4 linked regions of the Caenorhabditis elegans genome follow. The protein of the gene in region 4 purifies or fractionates together with the protein of the main gene of each other region. This does not show direct contact. Each region holds a gene or a part of one and is shown on either strand. Other genes may lie near its edges.

Region 1 (7,757 bases), on a different chromosome or scaffold from region 4:
TTGTGAGTTTCTATATTATCTATTTAAAGGTAAATCATTTTATTTACTTGAATCAAAACCAAATTATCTATGAATTGCATTAATTCCTCGGAATTCGTAGTTTTCCCACCTGAAAAATTCAATTTCCCAGAATAAATATTTCTTCTGAATATCAAATTGCAATAAACTCTCGTTTTCAAAAGAGCAGCCACAGGTGCTTTATTGCGTCTCCACCCCGTCTATTGTGCTATTATTTTCATCCACCCATTCAAAACATTTTATCAATGCTGTAAAGCAAAAAGCACACAAACATTCGGACGATCGTCGTCTAGTCATCGTGTTTCCACCTGTAATTAATATTAAACTATTCCTAATTTCCGTTTAAAACATACATATTCATCTGGAAAATGAGTGGTGGTAAGGGGAGCTTTCGGCATAAATTCAATGAAAAACTAAAGTTATCCGATCAAAATAGAATAGAAATCCACTAATCCCTTTTATCCGAGGCGATTAAATTTGAAACAAAAACGTTTCGAAGCAAAAAAAAAAATATTTTCGAAATCATCATAAAATGTTTTCAGAGAATTGGATCCGTCCGAGTTCTCGGAAGTTTTCACTCGGAGTAACTCCGCGAGCACTTTCACGAATCGACGCCACATCGACTCCATCTCTAGACGTCCCTCAAAAGGTGAGAACATAGGAATATGAGTCAGCAGAAAGAATATTATATTGAATCCTGGTCCTTTTGTAAATAAATATCGGCTATAAAGAGGATGGGAATCAAGTTTTTGGAAAAAAAAGAAACATTTTCCTTATTTCTTGTAAAATCAATCCCCTCCGCGATTGTCTAAAATGCATCGAAATTTGCACAAAAAGGTGATTTTCAATATAAAGACAAAAATTATAGTATTTCAATTTTGGAATCGTTGAAATTTAATTAAATTTGCAGGCCACAAATCGTCGATTCTCGTTAGCCGCGACCTTCTTTGACGCCGCCAAAGCAGATAGAAAAACTTCACTTTGTGTTGGTAGGTTATTAGAATTTCGCCCAGTTTTATTTCAAAAACTAAAAAGACAAAAGTGCAAGATAAAATCTAAAAATTAAGAGAAAACTTCATTACAGTGAGAACCACTAACTGAAAAAAGACAGATTTTTCTATCCAAAAAAAAATGAGAAAGTCTCTTAATTTTCCCCATTTGCCACTTTATGACCTAAACAGTGCCACGTCATCGTCTAAATCAAACAGCGTCCTCTGTGCTTAACTCTTATCACTTTTTTATGGCATGTGCACTCCTCCCTCTATGCACCACTTAGTTTCAAGCATTTTTCTTACCATATTATCATTCTTTTCCCTAGCTATTCTTATTGTTTTTGGATCAAGTCATGTCCGACTCTAAACTAAGAAACACGGTTTCTATGAAATTCAAAAACAAACCCAAAAAATATCTGAAAGCGGCTGCTCCGATATCACAATCAATGGCTGCTCTCGACTTGGAAACCAATGTGAATTGGAGAAGAGATATGAGTATTGATGAAGAAAATGGTGCTTTTTTAAAAAAATATTTCCTGAAAAATGAATTAATCTATGTTTCTGCCATACTTTACAGATTTTTAAAATTCAAAACATAATAGGCATCAATCTACCAAAAATTCATTAAATGATTAACAAGAAACTTTCAGAAAAAGATTATCTGAATCATCAAGGCCGTTACCGTACAGTCGCTGATCCTGACTTGGAGCGTCCATTATTTGTGGAACGATCGGAAGAAAAAGGTGTTCGAACCTTCCGAAGCGATTCAATCAAACCGGCTAGAAGCCGGCGAATGGGGAGAGCAATGCGGGTGGTTGTAGTTGGAGGAAAAAAAGTCGGAAAGACAGCTATTCTGCGGCAAGTCGCATGTGTTGAGGATGTTACGAATAAGGTTCGAAGATTAAAAATAATTATTTCGGTTTCTAAATTTCTAATTTTCAGCCATATGAACCAACGATCGAAGACACATATCAAGTTCTTTTGGAAGAACCGGACAAAGCTCGAGAGATTCTTATATTGCACGATACGGCAGGAGTTTCAAATTACGGACCGATTGAACTGAAGAAGGCATATGTACAAGCTGCAGACGCATTTGTTCTTGTGTATTCATCTGCTGATTACGAATCGTTTAACAGAGTTGATTTGCTGAAAAAATGGATAGACAGACAATTTGGAAAAGATAAGAAAGAAGTTCCAATCGTAGTCCTTGCCAATATGCGAGATCGACCGGCGACAGTTGACAGTGCTTTTGCACATAGTTGGGCTGCACGAGAAAAAGTTAAACTATTCGAGGTTACTGCAAAGGACCGGCAGAGCCTAGTCGATTTCATTCATTATGTAGGACATCGACATTTCCATCCAACCAGTAAGTTTTGAAAAATACTTTACTTTGCAATCTACCCAAAAAGCTATAACTGTTTTTTTTATTTTTGAAAGATTAAAAAAATTATCGTTTCTTTTTCAGAAGAATCGAAATTCTCGCTCTCAAAGAAGCTGAAATCAGAAAAATCTTCAAATCCAGCAATCTTGATGGACTTTTGACCCCAAACTTCTTATTCTTCTAATATTCTTTGTGATAACCAAAAACTGTGATTTCACTTTTCTCTGGCCATAATTATCAAGCTCCTTCTCTGTGCCTTCATCCTCCCATTTCTTATTTGGTTTTCTTTGCATAATTTTTCATCACATTATAGGCACCCAAAATATAATTTAATCAGTATTCTCGGTCAGCAAACTTTTTCTTATGTACGTCTAATTATGCTTCTTTTTGTGCATTATTCACCAAAACAGAAAAACTTTTCAAAATCAGGTTGCAGGTTCATTTTTTGTATATGATAATAATAAAATGAATGAATAAAACAGTTATAATAATAACTTTACCTGAGAAAGAAGAGGGAGCAAACAATAGATAAACATGTTAGACAGAATACTTTGTGAAATTATGGTGTACTGTTGAAAAGACTTAAATCTTCTGCGGTGCAGCGAATCCGTAATTGGTTTCTGGAATAAATATATGTATAAGGGAGACATTTGAAAAACTAACCTGAATAAGCCAAATCTCTTGGACTTGAAGTGAGAGTTGGAGCGGTCTGCAACTAGTGGGATATTAGAATAAGTACAATATTTATCAAAAACCAACCGGTTCAAGGCCAGCGTCTGAGCAATATTTCTTGAAAAGAGCACCGATGACTTCTTCAGTTTTCAAAAATCCATTCGTATCCATCATGAAATAAATTAAAAGAATTCCGTCGGCACACAGGTACTTGTGAACAAAGTTGTAGCGGTGATCATGAATATTACTGTCGAATGGCTCTCGTTCCAATGATTTTTTGATCAATTTGTAGATCATCACCTCGTTGAGCTTCTTACTTTTGATACGAAGAATCCACTTAACAGTTCCAATTACCGAGAGCGCGGTGAGCTGAAAATATTCTTGAAAATCGTGGCCAATAGGAGAAAAAACGTACCACAAGAAGCCAAAAGTAAAGCCCAATGAAAATTTTCTCGTTAATCACATTCATCGGAATAATGCATTGAGCTTTATGATTCACAAAGTTGCTAACTGATTCTTGCAACTGATATTCACATCCCACAAGAATTGGGAAGTACTGGAAACGATTGTAACTGCCGTCTGTGAGAATTGCCGCGAATCTTTGTTTGTCGGAAAACGAGGAGAACTCGGGAGCACGTGGAGTTGGGTGAATGAATTTGCCGAGAAGCTGAAAATAGAAAAAAGACATACTTTTATTATCAGTGTCATTCAATTTATATCAAAAACTTGCTCAACTCACATCAAAACCCCAAGTCCACGAATCAACGTCCAAGAATTTGCAAACCAAGTTCACTTGAATAATCACATTAGTTATGAAAAATAACTTTGTGAGACTGTACAAGACACTGGGAAAAGCTGAGTTAAATGTGATCCACGATAGATATCCCATTTTGTGGGCACGACGGAACTTGAAGTGATCATGCATATAATTCACAATTCGATCCACTTTTTCCTTCGTCTTTTCAAACGTTTTCTCGCTGTTGATTTTTCCAGAGTAATCCACAATGAAAGCCATGTCAATGTCTGAAAGATTAAAAATTTATATTACTCTACAGAAGAATAACTCGTACAAATAAGCTTTTGCATGTATGCCCAGCACCAGAAAGGAAGAAGAAAGCAGCATACTTGAAATGCAAAGAAGAAAGGAACCCATTGATAATAGTTGACAGATGCATCTTCAGTGTAACTTCCAAATTCAGACGTTCCATTGCTCACGTCGTATCGGAAAGTTCCATAGAAAAGACAGAAATTGTGAATGTAGTCGCGCCACGATTTCAGATCTGAAAATTGAGATTAATTTATGAAAATTAACGCTATTGAAACCATCATGTTGCTTCGGGAGCATGCAATCGATTGGATTTCCGAAATGTTGTTTAGCACCAGTGAGTAGAACAAAGAATCCGAGAAGATAAACTGTGAAAAGGTGAAGTCGATCGTAAAATTCGTAGAGCTTCGCCGCTTTGAACGGTTTGGTGATGAAATCGCCGATAATCGGGATCTCCCAAATCATTTTGCGAATAGAACTGAAATACACAGAAAATTAATTATTTGAAACTATTAAAACCTAACAAATATAATGCTTACGATAGGCGAAAATCCTCGAAAAAATGAGTTGCTGGTGAGTAAAGTGCGCAAAATTAGAAACTCCCGGCTACCGTACCCTGATATATTTAAAGGCGCGTGTTTTTAATCCGGCTATAGGTCCGGCGCGCTACTAAAGTTTTCAGGCCTGGAAAATCTTTCAGAGTTCTCGAATTGGAATAAAAATCAAATACTTGAAAAAAAAGTTATTTAGAAATAATATTTTCGTGACCTTGGCCTTTGAAATTATCTTTTTGGAATATCGATGAGGAAAACGAATCGAAAAACAAAAGAAAATCAGTACTCGAAACTAAAACTTTTTGCAAGCTCGAATATTTCGATTCAATAGACAACAACCATCGATGGCCAAGTCTAACTCGAACAATAGCCACAATGAGGTAAGTAGTTTTTTCTGTCCGGGCATGAAACTTTCTAACAACTTTGAAAATTATAAATATTACAGGCAGATACTCTCTCATCACTTCTCTCTTCAGTTGGTAGTTCTTATGATGGAGAATCTGATTCTACATTCGTGTCAACTGGAACTACTCCATCATCAAGCCGTCGTTCTCGTCTTGATTCGTTCCTTTCAACTACTAGTTCCAGTAAATCAAGACCAAGAATTAAAAGCAAGCTTCCTCGTAGCTCGTCGTCTGGATTCTCGGGAACAGGATCTGAAAGATCTATTTCAAGCAAAAGATCGAAAATTGGAAACACTTCTGGGAACCGTAACAAGATTTCGCAAAGTGCTAGAAGAAGACTTTTGCAAGCTGAAATTGAGAGTCGACGCAATAGATCCAACAAATCACCAGGTTCCAGTCGTAAAAGCATTCTGAAGAAATCTCCGATGAAAAAAAGAAGATCTCTTTCGAGAAAATCTTTACCAAAGAAGGAGCATATTCCTCCAGTTCAAAAGTTTGCAATTATCAAGAATCCAGCTGCTCGTAATCAAGGTGAGCCCTGAGATTGTTTTGAAAGTTCACATAATTGATCATATTTCAGTTCGTGGATTTGTTGCTGAATACGCACAAGATCCAGAATTTGAAGCTTTTGAGCTTTTGGTTGACGGAATTCCATTTGTTGCTCTCTCTCTGATGAATGCTCATCCAGATCTTCGTGGAAGATTCAAACCTGTTCCACCACCAACACCGATGAAGAAGCATACTCCAGGTAGTTTTATCTTGAATCACCTTTAACTCATTTACTCATTTCAAGGTATCAATAGCCCACGAAAACGTCCTTTGCGTCGTGAATCTATTTCTTCCGTTAACTCGAAAAGTGTTCGTTTCACTGATGAGGGATCTTCTTTTTCGAAAAGAGCTAGAAAATCTTCATCCGGAGATGTCGATTCATCGATTCGTGAGCTTGGAGAGACAGTATCGGATGCCATGAGTACGATTTTTGAGTCATTGTAATAAAAAACTATTTTTTTTTGCAGTTGACACTGGTCGCCAGTACAATGATTTGTGGAAGGATCGTGCACATAGTGTTGAAAAATGATTGATCTCTGTAATGATATCACCTGATTGATTTTCTAGAGAATAAAATGATGATTTGAATATGTTTAAGTAATTTGAGATTAATTCTTTATTTGGTCCCATTGGCCGTTGACGTTCTAAAAAATCGATTCCTTTCGCCCTGAAGACGCTTTTAAAAATATGAACGATAGAACCGCTAGAGCTAGTTGATAATTTTAAAACTAAGTTTTCAAATTTAGAGAGGTAACAGCTTATAATTTTAATTTTTTTAAAACAAATAACAATGAATTACAGCAAGTAGGAAATGTCCGAAATTATTTCAATGGTGTGAACAGTTTTTCAAAACATCTGAAGATTTTGTACACTTTTAATAGTTCAGTAAAATTGGGAAATCAACTCAAAACTTTGATTGATAGTTAGAACAATTTTCAAATTTCAAACTGTTTTGTTTAACCATTTAAACATTTTTACTACATCTAAAGTTTATACTGACAAACTCCCCCTGACGCCCACTCTTCGCCTCGACCGTGTAGAATTTCTATTGTAGCTACGATAGGTTCTTAACCATCAATTTTTATGAATCATTAAAAAAAAAAATAAATCTCCACGAATCTCTGGAGTATAGTTCGACCCATACGATCAGTGCAAACTCTTTGAGCATTCACCTGAAGCTGCATCTAACGTGTTTTCTGCCATTGATAACCAGGGCATTTCAATGTACGACAATATAGTTAGCTGCTGATAATAAAGAATTCGTCTGATAAGCCACGTAAACCATATAGACAGCATATTTACATGCTTTCTGACTCTGTTTTAAATCGATTTTTGATAATTTCAATTGGTTTATATGTTTCTTTTTTTTTTTCAGAAAATGGGTTTTCGGATACGGATAAATAAACTAGATGTATTCTTAGTTGTTATTGCAATTGTGTTTATTGTGTTTGGAATTGTTACTTGGGCGGCATTCTCTTCAATTTACAGTACTCTGGTCATAAAGGTATTCCCGTGAAAAGTGAAGTTAATTCCTAAACTTGCATGATATCAGAACCTACAACTAACTGAAAATTCTGATACCAGTCTAGGATATTCTGCATTTCAATATACAAGTCCTCAAGTGGATAATATAATGAAATTCTACTTTTTTAATGTTACAAATCCAGACGAAGTGAAATACTATTCTGCTGCACCAAATTTGGTAGAAATTGGTCCATTTTCTGTAATGTAAGTTGAATTTTCCTCATAGATATGTTAATTAAATTCCGAATTTGAAGGGAAAGTGAGCAGAAAAAATATCTGGAATTCAGTGATGATAAATCACAAATGTTTTATCAAAATTACAAAAAGTATATTTTATCAAAAGATTATTCGTGTGAAGATTGTGACTGGGACAGAAATATTGTTTTTCCGAATCCACCAGGATTGGTGAGTTTTGATAGATTAGCGGGCGAGTGCACGTGGCGCCTCAACTTGATTTCATGTCTGTTTTCAGGGGGCTGTTGCTTCAATGTTAGATCCACAATTCCAAATCACAAAAACGGGAAGAACAATTATTGCAGTGGCTTTAACAATTCTTGGTGAATATCCATTTGTGTAAGTTTTTCACCGAATTTAACTTATTTTAAAATAAGTTTGCAG
Region 2 (6,852 bases), on a different chromosome or scaffold from region 4:
GGCTCAATCTTTGCCTGGAGCAACTCCACCAACTCCAACAAGTTCAAATGCCGGATTGAATGCTCTTCAACAAGCTGGTCTCACATTGGCAGCAAATGGGCAGATAATTCAATCGAAGAAATGGAGAAATGATGATAAGAAACAAAAAGAGTTGTGTACTAAATTTGCGTTAGCCCTAGCCACGTCACACGTTGACTTTGAAGTTGTACAGAATCCATTGTGGAAAGAAGTTTTTGAAATGGCTCAGCCGAAATTTTCAATTCCAACTGAATCTCAATACGAACACATTGTGAACTCGACAAGTCATAAACTGATTCAAAGTTTGAAAAGTCAACTATCTGCAAGCAAGAAACTCAACCTTCTTCTGGATATCACAAAAATCACTGCAGACATCTCTAGAGTCACCGTATCTGTAGCATTGACAGGCGGAGCTGGAAATAGTTATGAGACTCAAGTGATTCTTCTCGCCTTCCGAAACATCAACGGAAACCAATCAGAAGATCTCACAGCCGTATTTGAAAAAGTCCTTCAGGACTACAATATTTCTCCAAGTTCAATCAATCGTGTGATTTGCTCTGGTCTGAACGAGCTCGCTGAGCCCGCCGAGCTTCCAAAACAAATGGATTCTTTCTCATCTCGTCTTGCTAATTGTTTTAAATCTTGGCTTGAAACATCTCCAACAGTTGAAGTTTTGAAGAAAAATGTATACGCGATGCTTGTGTCCTACCTGACAGTTCCAGCAGCTATTCAACTTGCAAGTCAAATGCTAAAGGCAAAGTTTGAGGTGCCACTCACTGAACCATTCCATGTGATTGTTGAGCATTTGGTAGCTCATCGGGATATTTATCAAATGAATATGGAAGGAATCACTTTGATTTCTGAACGTGAATGGAATAAAGTGACTGGAATCCATCATCTTATGAATATCTTCAAACCATTTATGACATATTCAACAGATATGACAACCGTTGATACTGTTATTCCAACAATTGTACAAATTCAAAATGTTTTGGAAAAGGTTTTGTTTGAAACTAGTAATAAAATCATTTTAATACATTTTGCAGGATATCTATCACTTGGGAGACATCGGATCTGATCTTCTAACTTCTTTGAAACAAACTGTCGCACCAATCATGAATCCTGAACACGAGAACTTTGATTCCACGTACATCCAAGCCACTGCTCTGAATCCTCAATTGGCTGTTACACTAACTTCTGATCAAATGACAACTGCGAAATCTCTCATTGAAACTGAAATTTCGAGGCGAACCAAGAAGATGAGAAAAGCTCAAAGTGATAAGAAATTGGCAATGGGTGTGGATTCACTATTGGCAAATGTTATGAGGAAAAATGATGGAGGATCTGATGGAGGATGTGAGACAGCATTGGCAATTTATGGAGATTTATTTCAGTCGATAACTGGAAACAGTTCTGAATCAAAGGAAAATATTGTGAATCAGTATTTTGATGAGATTTCTAGCACCGTAAGTTTTACTTTTCACTAATTTCATAGATATCATATTTTTCCAAATTGCACCCCGTTGTTTAACTTTGACAGCTTATATCTCAGTTGTTGCGTGTTCTATTCCAAAATTGTCAGCTAACAAAATAATTATTATTTAGTTATTTTTCTATTGTATTTTAGTTAATAATTTATTGATATCTTCAAAATGAACCGAGATATAATCTTTCGAAATAAAGTAATGAGGTGCAATACTACGGTAATTGACTAGTATGAAGAAGAATTATCAGTCGACTGAGTTTCTAGAAAAGTACAAGTTGTTTCAAAACTTAAAACAAATAAATTTAATTTTAAATAAACTTCTTTCCAACTCTTTACGTGACAATACGATATCTAGAAGATTAAATTTTAAACTGTCATGTTATCCTAGCACTATGCGATAATTGCTCTCTACCTAAAATCCGCTAAAAGAGTGGGATAATCTAGAAGATCATACGAGGGTGGTTGAAAATGAAAATGAAAGTAGTTTGTGCTAGCTGAAATCTGGAATTTTCTATTTTTATGTCTATGAAAAACAAATCAAAAATCAAAATTTCAGACTTCTGTGGAAAGCATGTTCATGCTTCGAACATTCGGCAATCCAATGCAAGCTCCACTCTCTTATTGGAAATCTTGCTCATCACGATGCTCGGAGCTCTCGGATCTTGCCACTGAACTTTTATCCATTCCAATCTTCACTCTTACCGCTGAACGCGTTTTAAGCTTTTCACCGGATTCGAGCTCTTTAAACACAAATTTGATTCTTACAAATTTAGACTCTACCGATCAGTTTGAGAAGCAAGTTTTACTCCGTTTCAATCGTCAGATTGTTTCGAAACTTTTTAATTAGATATTCAGTTTTTACATACTTTTCTGTCAGATAATACAGTATTTTCTCCTACTACGAGTCGTTTTATTCATTTTTAGCAGCTTCTTCCAACCCAACTCTCCTAGTCTCTTCTTTTCCCAGAACTTTCTATTTCTCAATGCCATTCATGCTCGTTGTTTCAAAACATTCACAAATTCCTGAAATTAATTGCTTTAAGACAAATTTGAATATTTCTTGCCCGCATACTCGGCAATCTCGCTCTATTGATGAGGTTTCGTAGAGCGTGTATACGTATGCATAATAATTCGAAATCTACATTATTTAAGACGCATTTCTAAATATAATTTATTATTGTATTTATTGATTTCCATCCAAAAAAATTAAACGGTGAATATTTTCTCTCTGTCCCATCTCTCGTTCCTTCAAATAAGAAACTCTTGAGCAAAACCAATGTGCAATTTTTAAACTTTTAAACTTCTTTCATTATTTTCTCCATTCCATGTCCGCTTTTCCTTGCACCAAGCATGTGATATTCCTTTTTTATTCTCGGCCCCCCAAATTCTCTACATTGTATTTTATTATTGTTCTCCCCCATTTTTTCTCGATATTTGCGTTTTCGGTGGCTTCTCACATTCTCCAAAAAAGTTTCAATAAAATATTTTTTATATCACAAATCGAACCCAAAAGAAACAATTATTATGCAAAAAGAAAGAACAAACATAATTAAAACTGCGTGCCATTTTCCACAGAAATTCCAGGCTGATTTGGAAGGAATGCTAGAGTATGTTTTCCCTTTGCCGACATTTTTCCATCCGATTTCCGCCGGAATTCACAATCGGTAAATGCCATTGTTCGTCCGACTTTCAATACGTGTGCAGTGATTTCCAGAACGTCTCCAACTTTGACTGGTAGAAGGTAGCTGAAAAAAGATTTTTTTAGAAAACAAACCACTTCTTTTGTTTCTTAAATATACCTAATTCAATTTTTGTGAGAAATTCAAAGAAACAATTGAAATATTTTGAATAGTTTTGAAATGGTGTGATGGCTCCACTTTTTTTTTTTTGATAGATGATGTCATTTTCAATTTACGCGAAAAAACATCAGACTTTACAATCTGATTTTTAAAATCATACTATTGTTAGAGCAAAGTTTACCTAACAGCCAGTTCAACAGAAGCCATTCCTTTATCTTTTACTGTGACTCCAACTGCCCGAGCGGTGATAACATCTGTCAGGGTAGCAGTTTGACCGCCGTGAAGTGTTCCCTGAAAAATTGCGATAATTTTTCGGAATATTCATTTTTCTTTAAATTTAATTTTACTGGTATTTTAAACAAGTTTTCATGAAATTTTAGGACTAAACGCACTTTTGAGTTCAAGTGTTGATGCTGCACCACCATTTCACATACCAGCTTGCTCTTCGTGACCTCCACCGGATAAACCTGAAATTATATTTTGAATTAATATATTTTGAATGAAAAAAAATTCCTAATCTTAAACTATTATCAAAAAAAAACTGACATCTTCAGCCACTCGATTGAAATTTGTGGAACCTTTCATTTTGTTGAAAACTCGAACTTGCTCCGCGAGCAGCTCTTCGCTTGTCTGAAATCTATTTTCAAATTAAATTATGTATCTTTTTTATTAATAAATATGTAACATACCGGTTCAATTACAGCGTCAGTAGAAGACTCGGAGTGGCCAACCATTTTTCAGGTGAGAAAATCTGCAAAATGACGAATTAATTTATATTATCAGGAGATTGTTATCAGTTTATCAGTGAAAGGAGCATTTCCGCATATTTGAAGAAAAGAAAACGTTTCAAAGTAAAAAGTACGAAGTATACTGGAATCGCAGCCCTCACAGCCGGAGCGGAATGATGAAATTAATTCACAAAAAAGAAACAAAAATGTTTGCGGTAGAGCGCATTTCAACAAGTTGTAGATGAAAATTTTGTGCATGTGCCTTTAAGTCTACAGTAACTCTACACATTTTTTAAACGGTCGAGAAAGCGCAAAAAACATAAAAACGTGTCAAGTTGAGGGGATATGTCAAGGTTATTCTCTAAAGACAATCCTCATCCGAAGAACAATCTGACCCGCAACGGGAAAAAAAGATGGCTACGAGAGATATCAGACACAGACACAACGACAACACGTGGAGTCAAAAAGTCCCATTTCGTTTTGATCTTCGAAAAATGCGGGAAAAGAGACGCATACATCTCTTCTCGTTTCGCATGGTTAAGAGCGTGCTGACGTCACAATTTTTCTGGAAAAATATTCCCGCATTTTTCGTAGATCAAACCGCAATGAGAACAGCCTGACACCACGTGCGACAAGGGTTTTAGGACATTGGCATTGCAAATAGTTTCTTCTTTATCTTAAACAAACAAAAAAATCAAAATATTTTCCAATTTGTGTTGGTTTTCATTCAAAGATTTGTATTTCTTCAAGCCACAGATAATAATTGTATTTTGTCAACATAAATGTGCCTTCTCATGCGGAAAGAATGTGGAGGGCGGATATTGAAATAGATTCGAATTGAACTGAACATGTTTTTCTCTATCCTTTTTCCTCTTTTTTCCTAGTCAAAGTTATTTTGTGCCTGTTAAATGTATAACATTGTATATCCGTAAAAACTCTTTTACCTGTAATGCACGATTTCTTGGTAATACAGTATACCTTACCAACTGACCAATGTTCTTTAAAATATAATTAGCATTGTTTTAAGTGTGAATCTCAGTGACTCATTTCATTTGCTCACACTGCACGTCAGCTGTCGTACTCGTTGCTCTTCTTTCCGGAAAATGAAATCGAAAAGGACACTATTTTTGCTCTTTTTACGTTTCAACTAACCCGCTTTTCTTTTGTCACTTTACTTTATTGGCAAATTATTGGCTTTCAAAAAACCGAGGTCTCGACACGACCCAATGTTTTAAAACGATTCTGTACCACCAATGAAGTGCGCATTGAAATAATGCTGTAGTTTTGAAATTCTTCGGAATCTCTCGTTTTTTTCACATTTTCTTCCACATTTCGCATAAGTAAAAACTACTGTACTTTTTGAATGCGCACACTCATTTTTGCGACCTCCTTTATAAATACAATTTTTGGTCGTCTCGAGACCAAATACCGTATTCTTTTGCAAAAAAAACGGAAATCTTCAGGTCTATAACAGTTGTGCCCACGAAAAATTTTCGAAGCATTTTTTCCAACTGATTGGTGGAGAATAATTTCAGAAAGTAAGCATAATTTTGTTTATAAACTTTTTTTTCGAAAAGACTACGTCTTCAATCTAGGCAACCCCTTCAAACTCAAAAGATGGAAAAAGGAAAAAATCCTTCAATTCAACTGAAAATCATTCGACTTTCAAAAGAAAAAAGTGTATTGGATATCTAGTGTTTATCTCAGTTTTTGCCCCGGACATTCCAGTAACAACAATACGGACATTAGTTCCGCCGCTCCGAATCATCATCATCATCATCACAATGGGAGTGTGAAACGGAACCTCCGGAGTCTACAAAGTCGTCTTCTTTGCCTGCTTCTTCTTTCTCTTCTCAATTTTCTTAGTTCTTCACTCCTCAGTATTACATTCTTTGCAGTGTTTACCAGTACGTTGTGGGTGGAGACGGGTATCACATTTCATTCAATCATAATTTCAATGTGTCCCTTTATTTCATCAAACAATCTCTTGTAGAATTACTATATATCCTGTTCACTACAAAATTGTCGCAATCAAAAATTTTTATGTGAGATATGAGAATTTAAAAATTAAAACTTCGAAACGTTATATTTCGGTTCATTTGAACGATACCGATGAACAATTAATTACAAAAATATTTTAAAAAAGTTGAAAAAATGTCTTCAATTGACAAGTTTTTCTTAAAACAAAAATATTATCCTAAATAATCTTGAGCTGACAAAATGTTCCGTTAAAATTGGAATCTTTTCAGGCAATTTAACTGGTGCACAATAGAATGAAACGGAAAGTACTTCCAGTCTGTTTTTAGAAAAAATATCTAAATTTCTCTATTACATTTCTAATTATCTAAAACTTTGTCCCAGTGTCCAGCAGATAATCCATCCTGGATTTTATTCCCTTTCCTCTCCATCTCACCAGCTTCTTCTTCTTGTGTTACAACGAGGAGTGACCAACAGAAGAGAATGGAAGACAACCTGCCCTCTTCCTTCATCTTCTACTGCCCCCGCAATCCTCTCTGTTTGTTTCTCAAGAAATTCTCACAATTCTTTAGCTGCTTGGACGTGATGAGGATAAATCAAATCTTCCGGTTCTCAATATTAATTTATTCCAATCAACATCACTTTTTAGAAATTCGATTCTCTCGCGTCTTTTTGAAGCCACAAAGTCGGATTTCCATTATAGAGGTGATCCGAAACCAAACGACTATTTTCAATAGGGTTTCACGTGCCTGCCTACTACCTGCCTACTGTCTCCTCAACATCTCGCTTTAATTAATTGAAAGATTCACCTGCCAAGGGTGCAGCATTGATTTTTTACAAAAAC
Region 3 (11,171 bases), on a different chromosome or scaffold from region 4:
TTTCTCTGGGTAAAGGCCGGCAAACGGAACGGTGAACACCGTCGCTTCAAATGTTTCAAATGACCTTCCTCTGGTTTTTCAGCAGCAGCATCAATGCAATCGGCGCTCTCGTTTCAAATTCTGCGAAAACCAGTTTGGCTGGTTCGTGAGAGACGGCGCCAAACAATATCTTGACTATAGATCAAAAGTACTCGAGAGCAAATCAGATTGATGAAAATGTGTCTCGGGAGTAAAAAAACTAAGGGGGAATAAGGTTCCTTATGAAATTCATCTTGTCAATTGTAACGGGCGCGTGTGTGTCCAATGTCTGCGTCTCTTGTTTATTACCGAGACGACTGACATCCGTTCGAAAATGCAAAGATCACAACTTGAAGGCAACATTTTTTGAGCCAGGCTATTTGTTTCTAGTTATTAATTATTTTATAGTAGAGAAGAAGGAAAATTATAAAATTATAGTCACCATGTGGAATTGGAGGGGTTTTTTAAAAATAATAAAAATAATTCTTTAATTTACTTTTTTTTCGAATTAGCCGATTTGCTACGAAATTTCTTTAATTTTTTTTACACGGAACTAATTTACAAAAATTAATTTAGTCTAAAGAAGTGATAACTGAGAACCTGTGCTGTGATAAAATGTGCACTTCTCAACAAAAAAGTGTTGCAAAAACATTTTGAAACATGGTCTCTCTCTCTGGGAGTAATTGATCGAGACGGATAGTTGGGGGAACCACCGATGGGTTCTGGGACTCTCTTTGTCTCCTATACACACTCTCTCTCTCCTTCCAACACGCTTTCTCTCTCTCTCATTTCGATCAACATTTCCAAAGTGAAATCAAAAAAAAACGAGTGAGACGAAGAGAGATGACAGAAGAAATTCAGAAATATAAACCGCGTCAGTCGAAAAAAAAAACAACAAGGAAGGGTCACCTTGGGAGCTGAAAATGATGAAAATGGCTGCTGGGGGCGAGGAATAGACGGAGAGAGAGTGGAAATTCGGAGAGGATTAGAGAAAGAGAAGGGCGCGGTGCTAATGCTGGCAGAAGGAAGACTAGCTTCAGATGTCCTTAGAGACAAGAGAGGAAAAAATTGAATTTTCGCTGATAATTTCAGTTTGGCGGGAGAAAGTAAAATGGAAATTTATTGGTATTTACCTATTTCACCTAAATAAATGAAAAATTTCAATAAAAAAATACAAAGAAGCCGAAAACAGAACGAAAATCGGTCAGAAACCTGTGCAAAAATTTAAAATTTAAAGGATCGTGCACAACGTGTGGTCAAAGGTCTCGGCACGATTCATACAATTTTCAAATTAAAGGTATGCGCCTTTAATTGAAGAAGAGAGATTACTGTAATTTTTTAAAGTTATTTTTCGCGAAAAATTGATAAATTGCTGGAAAAGATTTGACTTTACTTGTAAAAGCATAAGTTCAGAATTAAAATATTTTTACAAGGTCCAGATACAAAGATTGTTGCTCTTATTATGACAATTTTCTTTGCCCTAATGATATTGTGTCGTTTCTCCAAACAAAAAAACAAATCAACAAGAACCATTTATATTTAGAAGAAAAGCAGCACCGTGAATATCAATCAAATCTATCGGGATTCACGCCAAGCTCGGAAATGTTCATCGGTATCGTTGAGCACTAGATAAAAAATTTAAAAAAAAAACCGATGGACACCTTTTGAAAACTCGGCACTGGGAACTGACGTTTAACGCTTTAAAACACATAAAATCGGAGCAAAAAAATTGGGGAGGGAACAGAGGACGTTGGAAAAGTGCACCCGGGATGAGAAAAAACGAAGAATCAAAATCAACATGATACAACAATAATCTATTTAACAATTACCTGAAAAACCTTTCTTTTAAGAGATGAAAATGATATAAAAACTAATAGAGAAAGAATTGAACTGTAAAACTGGGAAGAGAACAATGGAGGGAAGCGGAAATGATAAAGACACCTGAGAAAATTATTATTTCGCATCGGATGAAGATCAGTCCATAAAATGATAAGAGAAAGGCCAGTGATGACGATTTAGTCCGAAAAAGCTTATTCCCATTCGGTGGTGCCCGGTGGCTTACAGGTCATGTCCAGAAGAACACGAGAGATACCAAGAACATTGGTTCTGATGGCCTTGTCCATTTCAATAAGAGTCTGAAATATAAATTGATTAGAAAAAAAAACAAATGTTTGTCGAAAACTAACCTCTTCCGGTAAGTGAACTCCTGGAATCGCAGCCTGACCAGTCATAAAGTCCGATGTGACAAACGGACGAAGAACAATCGAGTGCCTGTATGATCCAATCATATCTCTATCACGATCAAAATCAACAGGCAGAAGGACGACTGGCATCTGTTGAATTTTGTGCCCAACATTTGGCAGCTGCGTACCATCCGAAGCAGCGACACGTCCGAATAGAATATTATTGGCGATGTGATCCGCCATTTGAAGTTTAGTGACAATGTGTGGTACAAGATATGTTCTCGTCAGGTCCTCGATCGAAAACTCGATTTTTGATCCAAATGCGTAGACGACTCGATTGACTCCGTGGAACAGCTTCGGGATGACTGAAGCATACGCGAACAGGAGTTTCCATGGAATTGGTCGTTGCTCGGTGGACAGTGCAACTGCATACGAATAGGATCTGGCATCTCCTTGAACACCGACTGTTTTGATTGGAAGAATGTGAGCACTGATTTGGAAGGTTTGTTGCTCGGCGAGTTGGCGATCTCTTTCAGACAGTGATAGTAGAACCTGAAAAACAGAAATAATAGACTCTGGATATAGTTTTCAATAGTGACAACTCACATTGTTCCGTGCCTGCTCGAACTGCAGGTGTTCATAAATTCCTTGACTTGGATTAATTGCAGAATTTAAAAACTGCTCAGTAACATCGATAATTCTTCCTTGCACATCTCCATTATACATCGGACCGTTGAACATCAACTCCGGCCTCTTATCTGATGCACAAAGAATGCGAATCGCAAGACCAGGTCCTGGGAATGGATGTCTCTGCACAATACTTTCAGGCAACCCAAGATCTTTTCCAAGCTCTCTGACTTCATCTTTGTGGAAATCTTTCAGCGGCTCCACAACTTTTCCGAGTTTTCTCAGTTCTCGCACCAAAAATGTGTCATTGTGATGAGTTTTGATAGTGTCCGCGTGTCCCGAAGCAAGAGCACTTGCACTTTCAATTAAATCTGGACGGAGAGTTCCTTGTGCAAGGAAATATTCATCATGATTGATATTCAAGTCCTTCATAATCACATCTTTTACGCGAATAAATGTATTTCCAATGATTTTTCTCTTCATCTCCGGATCATCACACTCATCCAACGCAACTTCTCCATCCTTGCAGTGTTCTGTACTGGAACGGAACGTTGTGCCGAAGTTATACCCTGAAATTAATTTTTTTTTTTGAATTAAAAAAATTTTTTTAAACTCACTGTGAATCGGAAGATCAAGCGCCGCAAGACTCTTCTCAACAGCATCACTCTCCTCATGACGCATGAATCCATTGTCAATATGAATTGCTGTGACCCGATTTGGTCCAAGAGCACGACGGAGCAACGCAGCACAAACAGCCGAGTCGACACCTCCAGACACCATTACGAGTACCTTCTTGTCACCGACAATGCTATTGATCTCCGAAATACACGATTGCTCACGGTTTTGAATAGTGAAATTTCCACAGCATCCGACAACTTTGAAAAGGAAATTCTCGAACATTTTCGTGCCGTTGGTAGTGAGATCTACTTCTGGATGAAACTGGACACCGTACAGCTTGCGGTTCTCGTTACAAATTCCTGCAAAAAGGTTTTGAGATGAAAGTACGAATATTTGATGAGGGGTTAGAAGCATTGGTAAATATTAAAATCAGAAAATTATTATTTAATTTTGTTTTTTTTTGTTTTAAAAAAATGTGAATAAAATTTTCAATAAACTCACCAGCAACATGATGGCCACTTTTGGCCATAACTTTGAAGTCTGGAGCCACCGTAGCCTCTGATACACTGTCTCCGTGAGTTAGCAAGACAGTTTCTGTTTTGTGAAGTCCATTGAACAAATGAACGCTCGTATCGACTTGAATTTCACATGCTCCGTCTTCTCTGATATGCTCTCTTGTTACAGTTCCTCCATTGAGCTTATTCATCAACTGAAATCCGTAACAAATTCCAAGAACTGGCAATCCACAAGTGAAGATTTCTGGATCGATTGACGGGGCTTCTGGTTCGAATACCGAGTTGGGACCACCAGAAATGATGATTCCCTTGAATCCGCCAAGCTCGATGAGTGTACGAGCTGTCGTGTTGAGTGGAAACATCTCTGATTGTACGAGAAGCTCGCGAACACGTCGATCAATAACTTTTCCATATTGTGCTCCAAAGTCGAGGATGGCAATGCGTTCGCCACTTGAAACCTTCTCAACTGGAAGATTCTCGACAAGGGTGACGTGACTTCCTGAAGCTTTTCAACATATTAGTTTTTGTCTTAATTATGAAAATGTGAGTGAATACAAAAATCTAATACAAAAAAAAAGTTATTTTATTCTAAAATCACATTTTCATTGAAATTATCTACTTACCGTTCATATTGGCACTATCAAATCGATCTTCTGGCGCCTTCTTCGGTGGTGGAGCTTTGTTCTGAAATATTATAATTCTGTATGGTATGTATTTTCGGCTTTTTAGAGCAAAATTTGAGAGCTTGTTAAACGTGGAGCCTGCTGACATGCAGCTGCCAAGGCAGATGAAATGAGAGTGAAAATGGCTGAACTGTTAGGAGATAGTGAGAGACGCAGGGCATAGAGTGCAAAATAAGTTGGAAAGAGCAGCTTTTTGACTAAAACTGGCCTGAAAAGTCCGAAAAAAGTAGCCAAACATTGCTAAAATCTAAAATTACTCCAACTTCTCCTAAATTATTATCCTGAATTGCATCTTTTGGTCATTTATCTCTAATTAATTCATTGATTTAGGCACATTTTAAGTAGATAGGCATCAAAATTGGACGCCTACCGACTTAAAATGTGCCTAAATCAACCAAAATATGCAATAAAAGGTGATAATTTCATAAAAACAGTATTCCTCAATGCTTTGAGTGGCTCAAAACCGAGCATCGGGCGGCTTCAAGAGTAGGAAGAAGATGACAGCAAAAAACAAAGAAGAGATAGTTGAAAAGTTCTCTCAGCACAGAAACTGAAATCAAAATCAAACAATGTGAGAGAGAGCGAGAGAGTGGTGAGACGTAGAGATTGAAAAAAAAAGAGAGAAACAAAACCAAAGGGAACCTTTTGAATGACGACAAGAGGAAAGGAGAGAGCAGAACCAGTGCTGTAACAGAGAAAAAGAAATAATGACGAAAAAGATAAAAGTCAGGAGAGAGAGAGAGAGAAATGGTGGAAAATCATATTAAAGATAATATTTTAAAAAAGTGCTGCTGTACTTGGAAAAATTGCAAAATTTTTCAACTAGACCCTAGTTTCCTAGTTTTCCAGCATTTTAGTGTTCGGCTGGGAGAATATAACTACGATTTCGTCGAGGAGAATTTTCTACCAAGAAAATATATTTTCCAGTGAAAAACGCTTATCCCATGAGAAAAACCAAGGAATTCTCACTGAAAATTGTGATAAATAAGACAAAAACTGCCAACAAATATTAAAATATACTCGGTTTTTAGACGAAAACTATCAAGAAACGGCGCAGTAATCCTGAAAATCAGATAGAAAGTTCTAGAAAAGCCGGTATAATCTGAACTCCACGTCAATTAGGTCACCTAGTTTCGATATATCACTGGATTAACGTGAACATTTTTATTTATTTAAAAAGAAAACCCTTCAGGTTACAGGAAAATTAGCTTTTTTTCGCGAAAAAACATGTAATTTGAGCGCCGAAACATATGGTGGAACCCCCCTTGAACAGAAAAGTCGGCATGTGGCTTTAGTGACAACTGATCTTTTGTCTTCAGAGGAAGATATTGTGATTCTAGAGAACTTTGAACTATTTGGAGTCGGAAAAAACAGAATGTAGTTGCGGAGAATGCAATAAAATTGCAATTATTTCTTTTCTTTTATAGTGACGATTTCAGGGAAAATTGTAAAAGCCCTTTGCAGCGATAAAATAATTAAATTCAACGAAAATTCAAAAAAGAAATCCATTAGCAAAGCGGCAAGATCAAAAGAAAAGTACAAGTTCTGACCGTGGAATGTTGACTGTCCTCGTTGATGTCCAACATTGAACTCGATCTTTTCATAGTATGCTCACTGACTTTCGAGACGGCCTTTGTTCTTTTTGCACGCTGAAGCTAGGTTATAATGATTTGAAGTCAATGGAAAGTGGAATTTTTTGGCAATTTATAATGAAAACCTCCTTAAAACGCACGTTTAAACGTTGAAAATGCTTTTTTTCGTTTTTTAACGTTGAAAACCAAATCGGGAGCCAATTTACAGAAATGTGCGCGAATTTTCACCCAGTTTTTCAAAATTTTCACATTTAAATACTCACTTCAGATGGAAGGTTGCGGCAGTGACGTTTACTCTGACGCGCTCCAATTTTGACTCGTTTTGGCTGCAATTACTGAAATAACAAAATTTAGTGGATTCGGTGTTTTCTCGGAGATGAAGCGATGAGAATGTACAGAACACGGATAAACTTGCGATGAAAATTTCATGTCAATTAATTTAAAATTAATTTTTTCGGTTTATTAACATAAAAATTGACGGAAAAAACTTAAATTTAAAAGCTCGAAGAAAAAAACAAAAATTTGAAGAACTCTGGCGAAACGCCAAAAGCTCGCGGGTCTCGCCGCGATTTGCCGACGAGAGTGACTATGGGTACGGTGGAGGGACGAGAGAGTGAGAGAAACGGAGTGTAAAATCAATGAAGTGGTCGCTCCGTTTCGCAACTTTCCTGCTTTCTAATGGCTTTTAAAATATATTTTTGCGAAATTTAATCTTATTTGTGAACTAAAAAATCATTACCCAATCGTTTAGAGTCTTTTTATGTTTTTAATAGGTTGTAACGACTTAAAATCTGACATAAAAGTTTATTGTTTCAGGGAGCACACCCACATCCGGCTCGAAACTATCAAAAATGGTATTTTAATAAATATTTTAAAAACAATTTATAATAAATATTTACCAGGGAGAACAACAGCTCGATTGTGCCCTCGACTTGATGCGAAGACTTCCTCCACAACACTGCGACAAGAATTTGACGGACCTCATCGATCTGTGCCCTCATCTTGTTGATGATCTTCTCAGTATGTTTCCTTTTTAACTAATTTAAAAAAATTCGCTTGATGGTTTTAGGCACTATCGATCAACCGCTGAAAATCGCCGCGGACCGTGAGACCGGCAAACAGTATTTGCTTTGTGACTACAATCGAGATGGCGATAGCTACAGGTATGAGTCATTTTATTTGAAATCTATCGATTTTTTCTGATAATTCAGATCACCATGGAGTAATACCTATGATCCACCACTCGAGGATGGACAATTGCCATCGGAAAAGCGCAGAAAAATGGAAATCGAGGCAAATGCCGCTTTTGAGTCATACCGTGATTTGTAAGTTGACAGAAAAATCATATATTTGCTCATAAATAATAATAATTTCCAGATACTTCGAGGGAGGCGTCTCATCAGTTTACTTCTGGGACTTGGATAATGGAGGTTTCGCCGGAATTGTGCTCATCAAGAAAGAGGGAGACGGAGCCAAAAATATAACAGGATGTTGGGATTCTATTCACGTTATTGAGATCACGGAAAGAGTTGGTTCAAAAACTGTTGAAGAGTTTTTTTTTTTAATTTATAATTTTCCAGGCACGCCAGGCTCACTACAAGCTCACCTCCACTATCATGCTGTGGCTGCAGACAAACAAAAGCTCCAGCGGTGTGATGAACCTCGGTGGCTCCCTTACAAGACAGGTTTTGGTTTCGAGTTGTGAATATATTTAAAAAGAAATATTATAGCATGAGATGGATGCACCAATCAACGATCAGAACACACACTTGGCTAATATGGGACGAATGATTGAGGATCAGGAGTCGAAAATGCGTCTGACGATCAATGAGATATACTTTGGAAAGACGAAGAAGGTAAGCAAAATGCAAATTTATTATATGAAAAAAGTTTCATTTTTAAAAAGTACAATTTTCGAAAAAAATATTTTCCAGGTGATGTCGGATCTCCGTTCAACAGAGAAGCAGAGTGAGCTCGAGAAGCAAGATGAGATCGTTCGCGAGTTGAACAACGCCATGGCTAACCGCGGAAACTGAGTGATCTATCTACATTTGCAGCTCAAAATCTCTCATTTTAATGCTTTATTTGCGAGTTTTGTATATTTATCTACCATAATACCAGCTTGTTTCTTCTTTTAAAACCTTTTTTCATTGCCTTTTCTCGAGTGTAAACTTTTTTTCTAGAATTATTAAAATCTCTTTTCCCACAATTTCTCCTCGCTCCAAAGTGTATGTGCTATGGCTTTTCCACAATTTATTACCAAAATGCCTTGATGTTCCTTCCGAGAAGAGCTTGAGCTTTTCCTGGACCATTTTCGTTCTAGGTGCTCGTTCGACTGTTTTGTATTTTGCAATGTAAATTATCCTCTTTAAGATTACTTTTCATTTCAATTATATTTTCGATGAAAGTATTTTATTCCTTAAATTTAAAAAAAAAGAGAGGGTCTTCATCACCACTTTGAGAAATCTCCAAGGCCTGCTCTTGCAAATTTAGTTTTCTTTGCGGCCTCCAAGGGTACATCTTCCATTTTTCCTTGTCGTTTATTCACAGCTGCGGCCGACTTCATGTACTTGCCGACTCCAGTTCCAACTGCTTCTGGTTTTGTTGCAGTTTCTTTAGCTTTTTTATTTGCTAATGAAGCTGCGTCCTTAGAAGCTGAAAATAGATATCATTAGTTTTAAAATTAGTAATAGAATTAAGAAACTTTTCTTCAAAATCTCTGCTCTCTCAGCTTGAACTTCTTTCTCAGCTTCTTCAAATGGATCCACAAATACTTCAGCTCTCATAATAACAACTGAAACCATCGGAACATCAGTTCCCTCTTCAGTTTCCAACTTTTCAATCGTCGTTAGTGTATCCTGTCCTCCAACAAGTCTCCCAAAAATTGTGTGCTTTCTGTCCAAATACTTGCACGGCCGGAATGTAATGAAGAATTGTGATCCGTTGGTGTTAGAGCCCTTATTAGCCATCGAGAGCACACCTCGAGCATCATGGGAGAAACCGGAGATGAATTCATCTGAGAATGGCTTATCCCAAATTGATTCTCCACCATGTCCTGTACCAGTTGGGTCGCCTCCTTGCAGCTGAAATTTTTAATTATTTTTTGTTATAACTTTAACTATTTTTATAATAAATTTACCATAAAGTTTTTAATTAACCGATGAAATTTGGTGTTATTATAATATCCATTCGAACAATGTGTGATGAAGTTTTCACAGGCCTTCGGAACTTTCGGCGCGAATAATTCCAGATTCAATGGCCCAAAATTTGTAACAAGCCGCACAAAAGCATTTTTCTTAACTCGGCTGTACCGAACTGTATCATTATCCAAAACAGCTGCTTTATTGCTTGTAACTGGAGCCATTACAGTGGATGTGAATCCAGCTGCGACTTTTCCTTGACTATAATGTGCTGCATTGATCTCATCGGCAGTTTCATCAGTTTCTGTGGAGCTCTTCTTTGGGACATATTCCTTATCCAATTGATCAAGAACTGATTTGCAAGCATTATTCATTCGTCGAATGTAGAATTTTGGATCTTTCATTGCATCTTTTTCTTTTTTAATCTCTTCTGACGTCTTTAAATCAAGCTTCACGTGTAGAAACTGCTCCATATTGAATTTTTCCAAATGATTTGGGTCTTGAAGATCAATTATATCAGCTCTTGTGAACGGAACATCGGTTAGAAGATCCTTGAGATGATTTCTTTTTAAATTCAATTCTTGCACGGCTTCATGAGAATAGACGTTTCCGGAAGTAGCGATGGCCAGAATATGACTGTGGTCCGTGAATGTTCTGAATGTAACTGGGCATCGGAACTTTCCATCTTCTCCTTTATCGAATTTCAAGTGGATTAGATCCTTGGCAACCAACGGTTTTCCTGTACACGGGTTTTTGCCATGCTTCTTCAAGTAAGGAACGATAGCACTGAAAATTTTTTAATAAAAAGTAAAAAAAATAAACAGAAATTTACGTTAAATCGAAAATTTCTCCTGATCTTGCGCAAACTGGGTCTTCAAACGGTAGAAGTGACAGCGAGCAATGGTTGATGGGTAACCTTTTGAACTGTGCTCTTTGGAGTCTTGTTCCAGTATCTGAAATATGAAATTAAATCTTGTTTTTATTTATAACTCGTGTTTAAATAAAAACCATCTTTATGTCCTCCAATCGATTTCCATTCAGAAGTGGTCAGATAGAGTTTATCTTTCTGATGTTGCTTTTTTCCCATTTTATCTGAAAATAATACAAATAAATACTAGTTACATTTATGTAGTTATTAAGCTTAATTAAAATGCCGATTGTTAAAAATTGCGAAAACAAATCGGCTCGTAAATCTACACGAAAACCTAGGCCGGCGGCCGCCAGCCACCTCGGGTCTCGCCACGATCACATGTCGATTTACGCGCTCAATTTCATTGACTATTGACGTGGATTATCTTGTTTCTCAATGTTTTTCCTCCATTTAAATTGTTTTTCAGAGATAAATTTTTAATTTTATAGGTAATATTAGCAAAAGAGAGGATTTGCAATAAGATGGCAGACTTTGACACTGTAAGTTTCATTTGCAGCTTATTATTGAAGTTTTTTTTTTTTAACTAAAAAGCGAAATTTCAGAATCCAACTTCTCTGTACAGTATCAAAGGAATTGTGATTCTTGATCAGGATGGAAACCGTGTTCTTGCCAAGGTTTGTCGTTTATTTCACAATTACCATACAAAAAACTCGAAAAAATATCGATTTTCAGTACTACGACCGTACAACCTTTGGAACTGTCAAGGAGCAAAAAGCTTTCGAGAAAAGTCTCTTCTCGAAAACTTCCCGCAACACTTCAGGTTTGGCTGATTTTTTTTTGATGAAAACAATAAAAATTAAACATTTTAAGCCGATATCCTGCTTCTCGACGGAGTGACTTGCTTGTACCGCTCGAACGTTGATC
Region 4 (6,820 bases):
CAATTTTCTATAACAAAAAATTTCAAAAATCACAAATTTTCGACTTTTTTGCAACAGGGGGGCGCACTTGCACCATGCGATAGGTGGAAAATTTGAAATTTTAGATCAAAAATCATTTTTTTGATCCAAATTTCTTCGAAATTTCCGTTTTTCGCATTAGGGCACATTTGCAACATGCGATCGCCGGGAAATTTGAAATTGTCCTTTAAAAAATCCATAGATTTCTCTAAAAAATTTCCCAATTTTCCCAATTTTTGCAGCTCCTACCCTCCATCACTCCGCGAGTACCCGATAACTCTTGTAGTCGGAGCCCCCGATGCTCCAGATCTCTTAAAATGCACAAAAAACCAGAAGCTGGTTACAGTAGTCGGCGCGTCGCTGCCAATTCCGTTCGGGACCCATCACACGAAAATGTCGATTCTGGAAGACGAGGACGGGCGGTTCCATGTGATCGTTTCGACGGCAAATTTGGTACCAGATGACTGGGAATTCAAGACGCAGCAGTTTTATTATAATTTTGGAGTTAAAATTGCGTCTGGCACGGTGCCAAGGTGAATATTTTCGAAAAATTGAGATTTTAATGGGCGTTTTACCATGTTTTACCCTTTCAAAACATGGAAGTATGCAAATTTGAGTTTTTCCTGATTTTTCTTGGAAAAAAATCAGTTTTTCCTTAAAAAAAACATAAAAACTGCCGTTCGGCAAATCCGGCAAAGTGCCGGTTCGCCGGAAACTTTGATTTTCGGCGAATTGCCTATTGGCCGGAAATTTTAGATTCCGGCAATGTGCCGGTTTGTCGATTTGCTGGAAATTTCCGATTCCGGCAAAATGCCGGTTTGCCGGAAATTTTGATTTTCGGCAAATTGCCGGTTTCCAATTTGTCGGAAATTTTCAATTCCGATAAGTTGCCGGTTTGTCGATTTGCTGGAAATTCCCGATTCCGGCAAATTGCCGGTTTGCCATTTTGCCGGAAATTTTCATTTTTGGGAATTTGCCGGATTGTCGATTGGCCGGAAATTCGAAATTCCGGCAAATTGCCGGCTTACCGGAAATTTTAATTTTCGGCAATTTTCCGATTTGCCGGAAAAAAATCATGTAAACTGTTAGACTAATTTCAACAAAAAAAAATAAATCATAACAATTATGCCAGATTTAACTGAAACCATTCAAAACAACCATTCAATTTTCTTGTGGCAAGTGTGCTCTAATGATAATCTAGGTGTTAAATATGTTATTTCCATATCTAAATAACATGCTTAGTAACCTATGACTATTAGTAGTTCACATTTAGTCACGTATAAGGGGAACCTCTGGCCAAATTTTTATTTTCAACTCAAAAACCTGTGATTTTTTCCAGATCCGACTTCCAAGATGACCTTCTCGAGTACCTGAGCATGTACCGTAACCAACTGGACACATGGAAACAGCTTCTCCAAAAAGTTGATTTTTCTCAAATCTCCGACCGTCTCATCTTCTCAACGCCCGGTTATCACACCGATCCGCCCACGCAACGTCCGGGACACCCACGCCTTTTCCGTATTCTTTCGGAAAAGTTTCCATTTGATGCGAGTTACGAGCACACGGAACGATGCACATTTGTGGCTCAATGCAGCTCAATTGGCTCACTAGGATCTGCTCCAATCAACTGGTTTCGCGGGCAATTTCTGCAGAGCCTCGAAGGAGCAAATCCGTCGCCGAAGCAAAAGCCCGCGAAAATGTATTTAGTGTTTCCGAGTGTTGAGGATGTTCGGACGAGTTGTCAGGGTTATGCGGGTGGATGTTCTGTGCCGTATCGCAATAGTGTGCATGGTAGGGGGATTTTTCTGCTGGGAAAATGAAGAATTCTGGAGAAATTAGTTGAAAAATGGTTTTTTTTTTCATCGGAAATGCTATTTTTAACTAATTTTACAACTAACAATGGGTCGATATTTTGTTAGTCTAAAAAAATCAAATTTAGAAACATAATTTTAATTTTAAAAAACTTGGTGGCAAATGTGTTCTAGTGATAATCTAAGTGTTAATTATGTTATTTCCTTATCTAAATAACATACTTAACACCTGCGACTATCAGTAGTTCACATTTAGTCACGCGTAGGGGGAACCTCTGCCCAAATTTTCATTTTTCCCCCTAAAACTTCAAATTTTTCGCAAAAATTCAAAATTTTCAGCTCGTCAAAAATGGCTGCAAGGCAACATGTGCAAATGGCGCTCCAATGCGAAACGAAGGACGAACGCAGTGCCCCACTGCAAGACCTATGTGAAATATGACAAGAAAGTGGCGATTTGGCAATTGCTGACCAGTGCCAATTTATCGAAAGCCGCGTGGGGAGAAGTGTCGTTCAATAAATCGGTATTGCGATTTTTTGCACATTTCGGAATGAAAAATTCAGAAAAAGCTTCAAAATTCATGAAAATTAGCCCGATTTAACCATAAATCGTGATTTTCTCATTAGAGCGCGTTTGCAACGCGCCTGAAATTTAAATTTTCATTTAAAAAATTTTGAGAATTTACGTTTTGCCATAGAAATTCGACGATATTATAGATTTTCAAACAATTTTGAGGGAATTGCGAAATTTTTAATTAGAAAATCTGATTTTCTCATCAAATTTTGTAATTTTTAGGCCCAAAAATTCCAAAATCCTCTATTTTTGCAGAAAAACGTAGAGCAACTAATGATCCGCTCATGGGAAATGGGTGTTCTTATCACTGATCCAAGCCGTTTCAATATTCCATTCGACTACCCACTGGTACCGTATTCGGCCACCGATGAGCCATTTGTGACCGACAAAAAACACGAGAAGCCCGACATTTTGGGATGTATCTGGACACCGCCTTAACCCTGATTTTGGGCTCATTTTCTGTGAAAAATTGCTTGTTTTTTTGAATTGATAATCTCATTTTCCTGTGAATTTCATTAATTTCTAACGCTTTACAATAAAATCTCGCTTTTTTCTAATTTTTGTTCAATTCTTTCCGGTTTAAAAGGTCAAAAATCCCCTTTTTCCTATTATTATACTCAAATTTTAAATTCGCGGCGAGCGAGCTGCAACCGCGCTACATTGAGAACACCACGAAATTTAGGCGCACTTACATCATAAAAATTGGGAATTTTCTCAATGGAGCGCACTTGTAACGCGCAAATTTTCAAATTAAAAATTCTTATTGGCGTGCAATCGCGCTCCACTGACATTGTCACGAAATTTATTGATTTTCGATAATTTTCGCAATTTTTTCGGTAGAGCGTACTTGTAACTTTTGATCTAAACAAAATTTGAAAGCTTTCTTCAAAAAATCACGAAAATTTTTGAATTTCTCAATGGAGCGCACTTTCAACGTGTTTTTTTTTCAGATTTTTCAAATTCCCGCCGCCCTGAATAATGTCAGTTCCCCCGGATTTCCGCCTATCCTACGAATCGGTCGTCCTTACCGCCGATGACGTCACTATTTTGGAGCACACGGGCTGCTGGTTCAACGATAAACTTCTCACGTTTTGCGCAGAATTTTTAGAGCAACACAATTCGGCGGCGGCGGAAATTCAAATTTTCACGCCCCCGCAAACCGAAATGATACGGCATTCGACGTGTGACGAGGAAGTTGACATGTATTTCGGATGTCTAGACGTGAACTCGAAGGATTTGGTACGGAAAATCACGAAATTCAAAAGAATTATCATTGGGGCGCACTTGCAGTGCCGCTAAATTTAAAAATTTCGGGTGAAAATCGTGAAAATTCCATTATTTTTTTTTGTTTTTCGATGTAAAATGTGACATTTCGAAAAAAAATTGCTAAATTTAACCCAATTGTCTTGCAGAAATCCCGAAATTTCAATTTTTCTGTGAAATTCTCAATAGAGCGCGTTTTCTACATGCGGTCAGAGCGGAATTTTTAAATTTCAACGTAAAAATTGAAAATTTGAGCCCAAATTGCAAAAAAACATACAATTTGACTATATTTCGCAATTTTCTCATTAGAGCGCACATTCTACACGCGAAATTCGAATTTTTGAATGCTGCAATCGCGCCCCAATGATAACAATCGTTTTTTTTTGCAGATCGCCTTCATCGTAAACGATAATCAAGATGTGACACGGGTCAATGGTGGCAGTCACTGGTCCCTATTGATTTTCGACCGAAAAATCGATAAATTCCGTCACTTCGACAGCGCGCGCGGCCATAACTTGAAAATTGCCGAAAATTTGATGCAAAAATCGCGAAAACTCGTCCGACAACGCCAAAGCCAGCGGAATTTGGAGCCGGAGCTATGTCTTCAGCAGAAAAATGCATCCGATTGTGGACTCCACGTGGCACAGTACCTGGCGGTGCTCGCCGAGCAAAAATCGGCGGACGCGATTGGAAAATTGGAGAAAATCGATAAAACACGCGGTTTTTGGCGGGATTTGATTGTTAATTTTGAAGCGAAATAAATGTTTTTTATTGATTTTGATTTTTTTTTCCGATGGGTTTGAAGGTTTTTGTGACCTTTTTCTAATATTTTTCATTTACCGAAAAATCGATAATTCAGTTTTTGAAAAAATTGATTTTTCGAAAACAATCATTGTTCATGGTGCGTCCATAGTCTGCGGAAAACGGGAATTTCCCGCGTGCGGAAGCGTCCATAGTCTGCGGAAAAACCGGAGTTCCTCGCTTTTTTTTCCTCAAAATTCAAAAAAGTAGGCGTGGCCAACCAATCAGCTGTTGTTTCTTGTTTTCCCATTGCTCAGCTTAAAATTTTACAGCCTCTAATTGGTTGAACACGCCCACTATTTTGAAATTGACCAATAACAAAGCGAGAAACTCCTTGTTTTTTTCCGCAGACTATGGACGCTTCCGCACGCGGGAATTTCCCGTTTTCCGCAGACTATGGACGCATCATCAGAAAATTTCCACGAAATTTCGAAAAAAAATCGGTGATTTTTCAGAAAATTTCGGAAAAAATCGATTTTTCAAAAATTTCCGGGAAAATTATCGATTTTTTCCGAAAATTTCTTTAAAGCATCGATTTTCAAAGAAAAATTCAATTTTTATGTTCCAGCCAATTTATCGATTTTTTCATTGAAATCGGATATTTACCGTATCGATTTTTCTGAAAATTTCGGCATTTTTGAAAATTATCGATTTTCACCAAAAAAAAATCGATTTCCCCGACATTTTCGGCCCGATTATCGATTTTCCGCGAAATTTTCCGGATTTTTCAGATGCTCACACCTGTATTCTGGATCACTCAAGACGACGACGCGCTGCTCATCCGTATTCGTGCTCCGCACGGAAATATCGCCGAGCTGGACTATGATCACGGCGATTATATGTTCGTGTTCACGTGTCCGCCTTATTTTTTGAGGTAAAAACGGTTTTTTTTACTGAAAAATTCAAATTCCCCCCGCTGATCGCATGCTGTGCAGCAAACGCGCCCTACTGAGAAAAGTACCGATTTTCGTGATTTCACAGCCAAAAATTCAAATCATCGCGCCGATCGCATGCTGCATGCATGCTCTATTGAGAAATTCTCCAAATTTCGCGAATTTCCAGCCTGCAAACGCGCTCCACTGACAAAAATGTGTGTGTTTTTTTGCAGATTACACTTTAAACAAATGGTCGAGGAGTACGGTAGCGGAAATGGAAGCGTCGAGTGGAAATCCGACGAAGGTACGGCACGACGCAAACGCGCTCCGTTGAGAAATACGCAAAAAATGCCGTAAAATCCTAATTTCTCAATGGAGTGCATTTGCATCGGCGCGAAATTCGAATTTTCAGGCGAATTTCACATAAAAGTCCCGAAAATGCACAAAAAAGAGCATTTCTCGAATTTGGACATGATTACGGAGCTGCTAACGCCTAGTACAACACACCACCAACCACACGGAAATCAACTTGTCGAGGAAATGGACGATTCTGAAGACGATGATGAAGGTGATGGCTCGGAATTTCTAGTGGAACAGCAGCCAGCAGCAGAGCCCGAAGAGCCGAAAAGTGATGGAAAAATCGAAAAATTCGGCTATGGTTTCGGTTGGAGCAAGTTTGGAGTTATTGAGAGGCTCAGAGATGAAATCGGCAAAATTGTGGATATTTTGGAGCCCGAAAATGTGGAAATTGAGAAAAGAGCCGACAAATTGATGGAATTCGATTGGGAAAACTTTGATGAAGGCAGATATTTGTAAGAAATCGAATTTCCCGCCAAAAATCACTCAGAAATTGCGCTCCATTGAGTAAATGCGTGAAAAAATAAAATTTTCCGACATTTTTGTGTCAGTAGAGCACAGTTGCAACGCAAAATTGTTCATTTTTTAAATTTGAAATCTCGAAAACTCGCAAATTTCTCAATAGCGCGCGCTTGCAACATCCGAACGGCGCGAAATTTGAATTTTTGGCCATAAAATAACGAAAATCGGCAAATTTCTCAATAGGGCGCGCTTGCAACATTTAGTCAGCGCTAAATTTGAATTTTTGGCTATAAAATAACAAAAACTAACTAATTTCTCAATAGGGCACGCTTGCAACATCTGAACGGCGCGAAATTTGAGTTTTTGGCCATAAAATAACGAAAATCGGCAAATTTCTCAATAGGGCGCGCTTGCAACATTTAGTCAGCGCTAAATTTGAATTTTTGGCTATAAAATAACAAAAACTAACTAATTTCTCAATAGGGCACGCTTGCAACATCTGAACGGCGCGAAATTTGAATTTTTGGCCATAAAATAACGAAAATCGGCAAATTTCTCAATAGGGCGCGCTTGCAACATTTAGTCAGCGCTAAATTTGAATTTTTGGCTATAAAATAACAAAAACTAACTAATTTCTCAATAGGGCACGCTTGCAACATCTG

Evidence for each region.
Region 1: the proteins of ulp-3 (region 4) and inx-14 purify together in Caenorhabditis elegans (affinity purification with mass spectrometry, with the first as the bait; one large-scale study listed by BioGRID). This does not show direct contact.
Region 2: the proteins of ulp-3 (region 4) and F42H10.6 purify together in Caenorhabditis elegans (affinity purification with mass spectrometry, with the first as the bait; one large-scale study listed by BioGRID). This does not show direct contact.
Region 3: the proteins of ulp-3 (region 4) and gmps-1 purify together in Caenorhabditis elegans (affinity purification with mass spectrometry, with the first as the bait; one large-scale study listed by BioGRID). This does not show direct contact.

What each region holds. Positions count from the first base shown.
Region 1 is NC_003279.8:7,347,501-7,355,257, forward strand, and holds inx-14 (Innexin-14), read right to left. Parts: upstream 4,683-7,757; 5' UTR 4,648-4,682; intron 4,587-4,647; 5' UTR 4,574-4,586; coding exon 4,387-4,573; intron 4,344-4,386; coding exon 4,134-4,343; intron 4,087-4,133; coding exon 3,803-4,086; intron 3,731-3,802; coding exon 3,479-3,730; intron 3,433-3,478; coding exon 3,151-3,432; intron 3,107-3,150; coding exon 3,055-3,106; intron 3,012-3,054; coding exon 2,974-3,011; 3' UTR 2,812-2,973; downstream 1-2,811. Other genes in the region: kbrl-1 (NF-kappa-B inhibitor-interacting Ras-like protein), read left to right, coding at 1-29, 561-667, 929-1,007, 1,661-1,902, 1,953-2,376, 2,476-2,552; spsp-1 (uncharacterized protein), read left to right, coding at 5,007-5,042, 5,108-5,597, 5,647-5,814, 5,860-6,036, 6,083-6,144; scav-6 (SCAVenger receptor (CD36 family) related), read left to right, coding at 6,994-7,119, 7,168-7,343, 7,394-7,544, 7,612-7,712. UniProt on the Caenorhabditis elegans protein: Structural component of the gap junctions.
Region 2 is NC_003281.10:8,475,404-8,482,255, forward strand, and holds F42H10.6 (Putative esterase F42H10.6), read right to left. Parts: upstream 4,049-6,852; 5' UTR 4,038-4,048; coding exon 3,993-4,037; intron 3,934-3,992; coding exon 3,850-3,933; intron 3,771-3,849; coding exon 3,696-3,770; intron 3,595-3,695; coding exon 3,485-3,594; intron 3,250-3,484; coding exon 3,054-3,249; 3' UTR 2,979-3,053; downstream 1-2,978. Other genes in the region: mig-39 (Zinc finger BED domain-containing protein 39), read left to right, coding at 1-1,018, 1,065-1,484, 2,061-2,351.
Region 3 is NC_003280.10:10,862,144-10,873,314, forward strand, and holds gmps-1 (putative GMP synthase [glutamine-hydrolyzing]), read right to left. Parts: upstream 6,572-11,171; 5' UTR 6,500-6,571; intron 6,300-6,499; 5' UTR 6,249-6,299; coding exon 6,195-6,248; intron 5,030-6,194; exon of another isoform or gene 4,973-5,029; intron 4,646-4,972; coding exon 4,585-4,645; intron 4,467-4,584; coding exon 3,948-4,466; intron 3,806-3,947; coding exon 3,446-3,805; intron 3,398-3,445; coding exon 2,808-3,397; intron 2,754-2,807; coding exon 2,205-2,753; intron 2,154-2,204; coding exon 2,049-2,153; 3' UTR 1,539-2,048; downstream 1-1,538. Other genes in the region: cap-2 (F-actin-capping protein subunit beta), read left to right, coding at 7,088-7,090, 7,139-7,256, 7,306-7,399, 7,448-7,561, 7,614-7,764, 7,817-7,921, 7,967-8,092, 8,171-8,272; cyn-4 (Peptidyl-prolyl cis-trans isomerase 4), read right to left, coding at 8,686-8,891, 8,941-9,319, 9,376-10,162, 10,209-10,329, 10,385-10,463; copz-1 (putative coatomer subunit zeta), read left to right, coding at 10,769-10,786, 10,850-10,921, 10,980-11,067, 11,118-11,171.
Region 4 is NC_003282.8:1,960,286-1,967,105, forward strand, and holds ulp-3 (Ubiquitin-like protease family profile domain-containing protein), read left to right. Parts: upstream 1-3,348; 5' UTR 3,349-3,378; coding exon 3,379-3,639; intron 3,640-4,052; coding exon 4,053-4,424; 3' UTR 4,425-4,439; downstream 4,440-6,820. Other genes in the region: tdpo-1 (putative tyrosyl-DNA phosphodiesterase), read left to right, coding at 261-551, 1,358-1,809, 2,169-2,350, 2,656-2,838; shq-1 (Protein SHQ1 homolog), read left to right, coding at 5,196-5,338, 5,573-5,643, 5,752-6,151.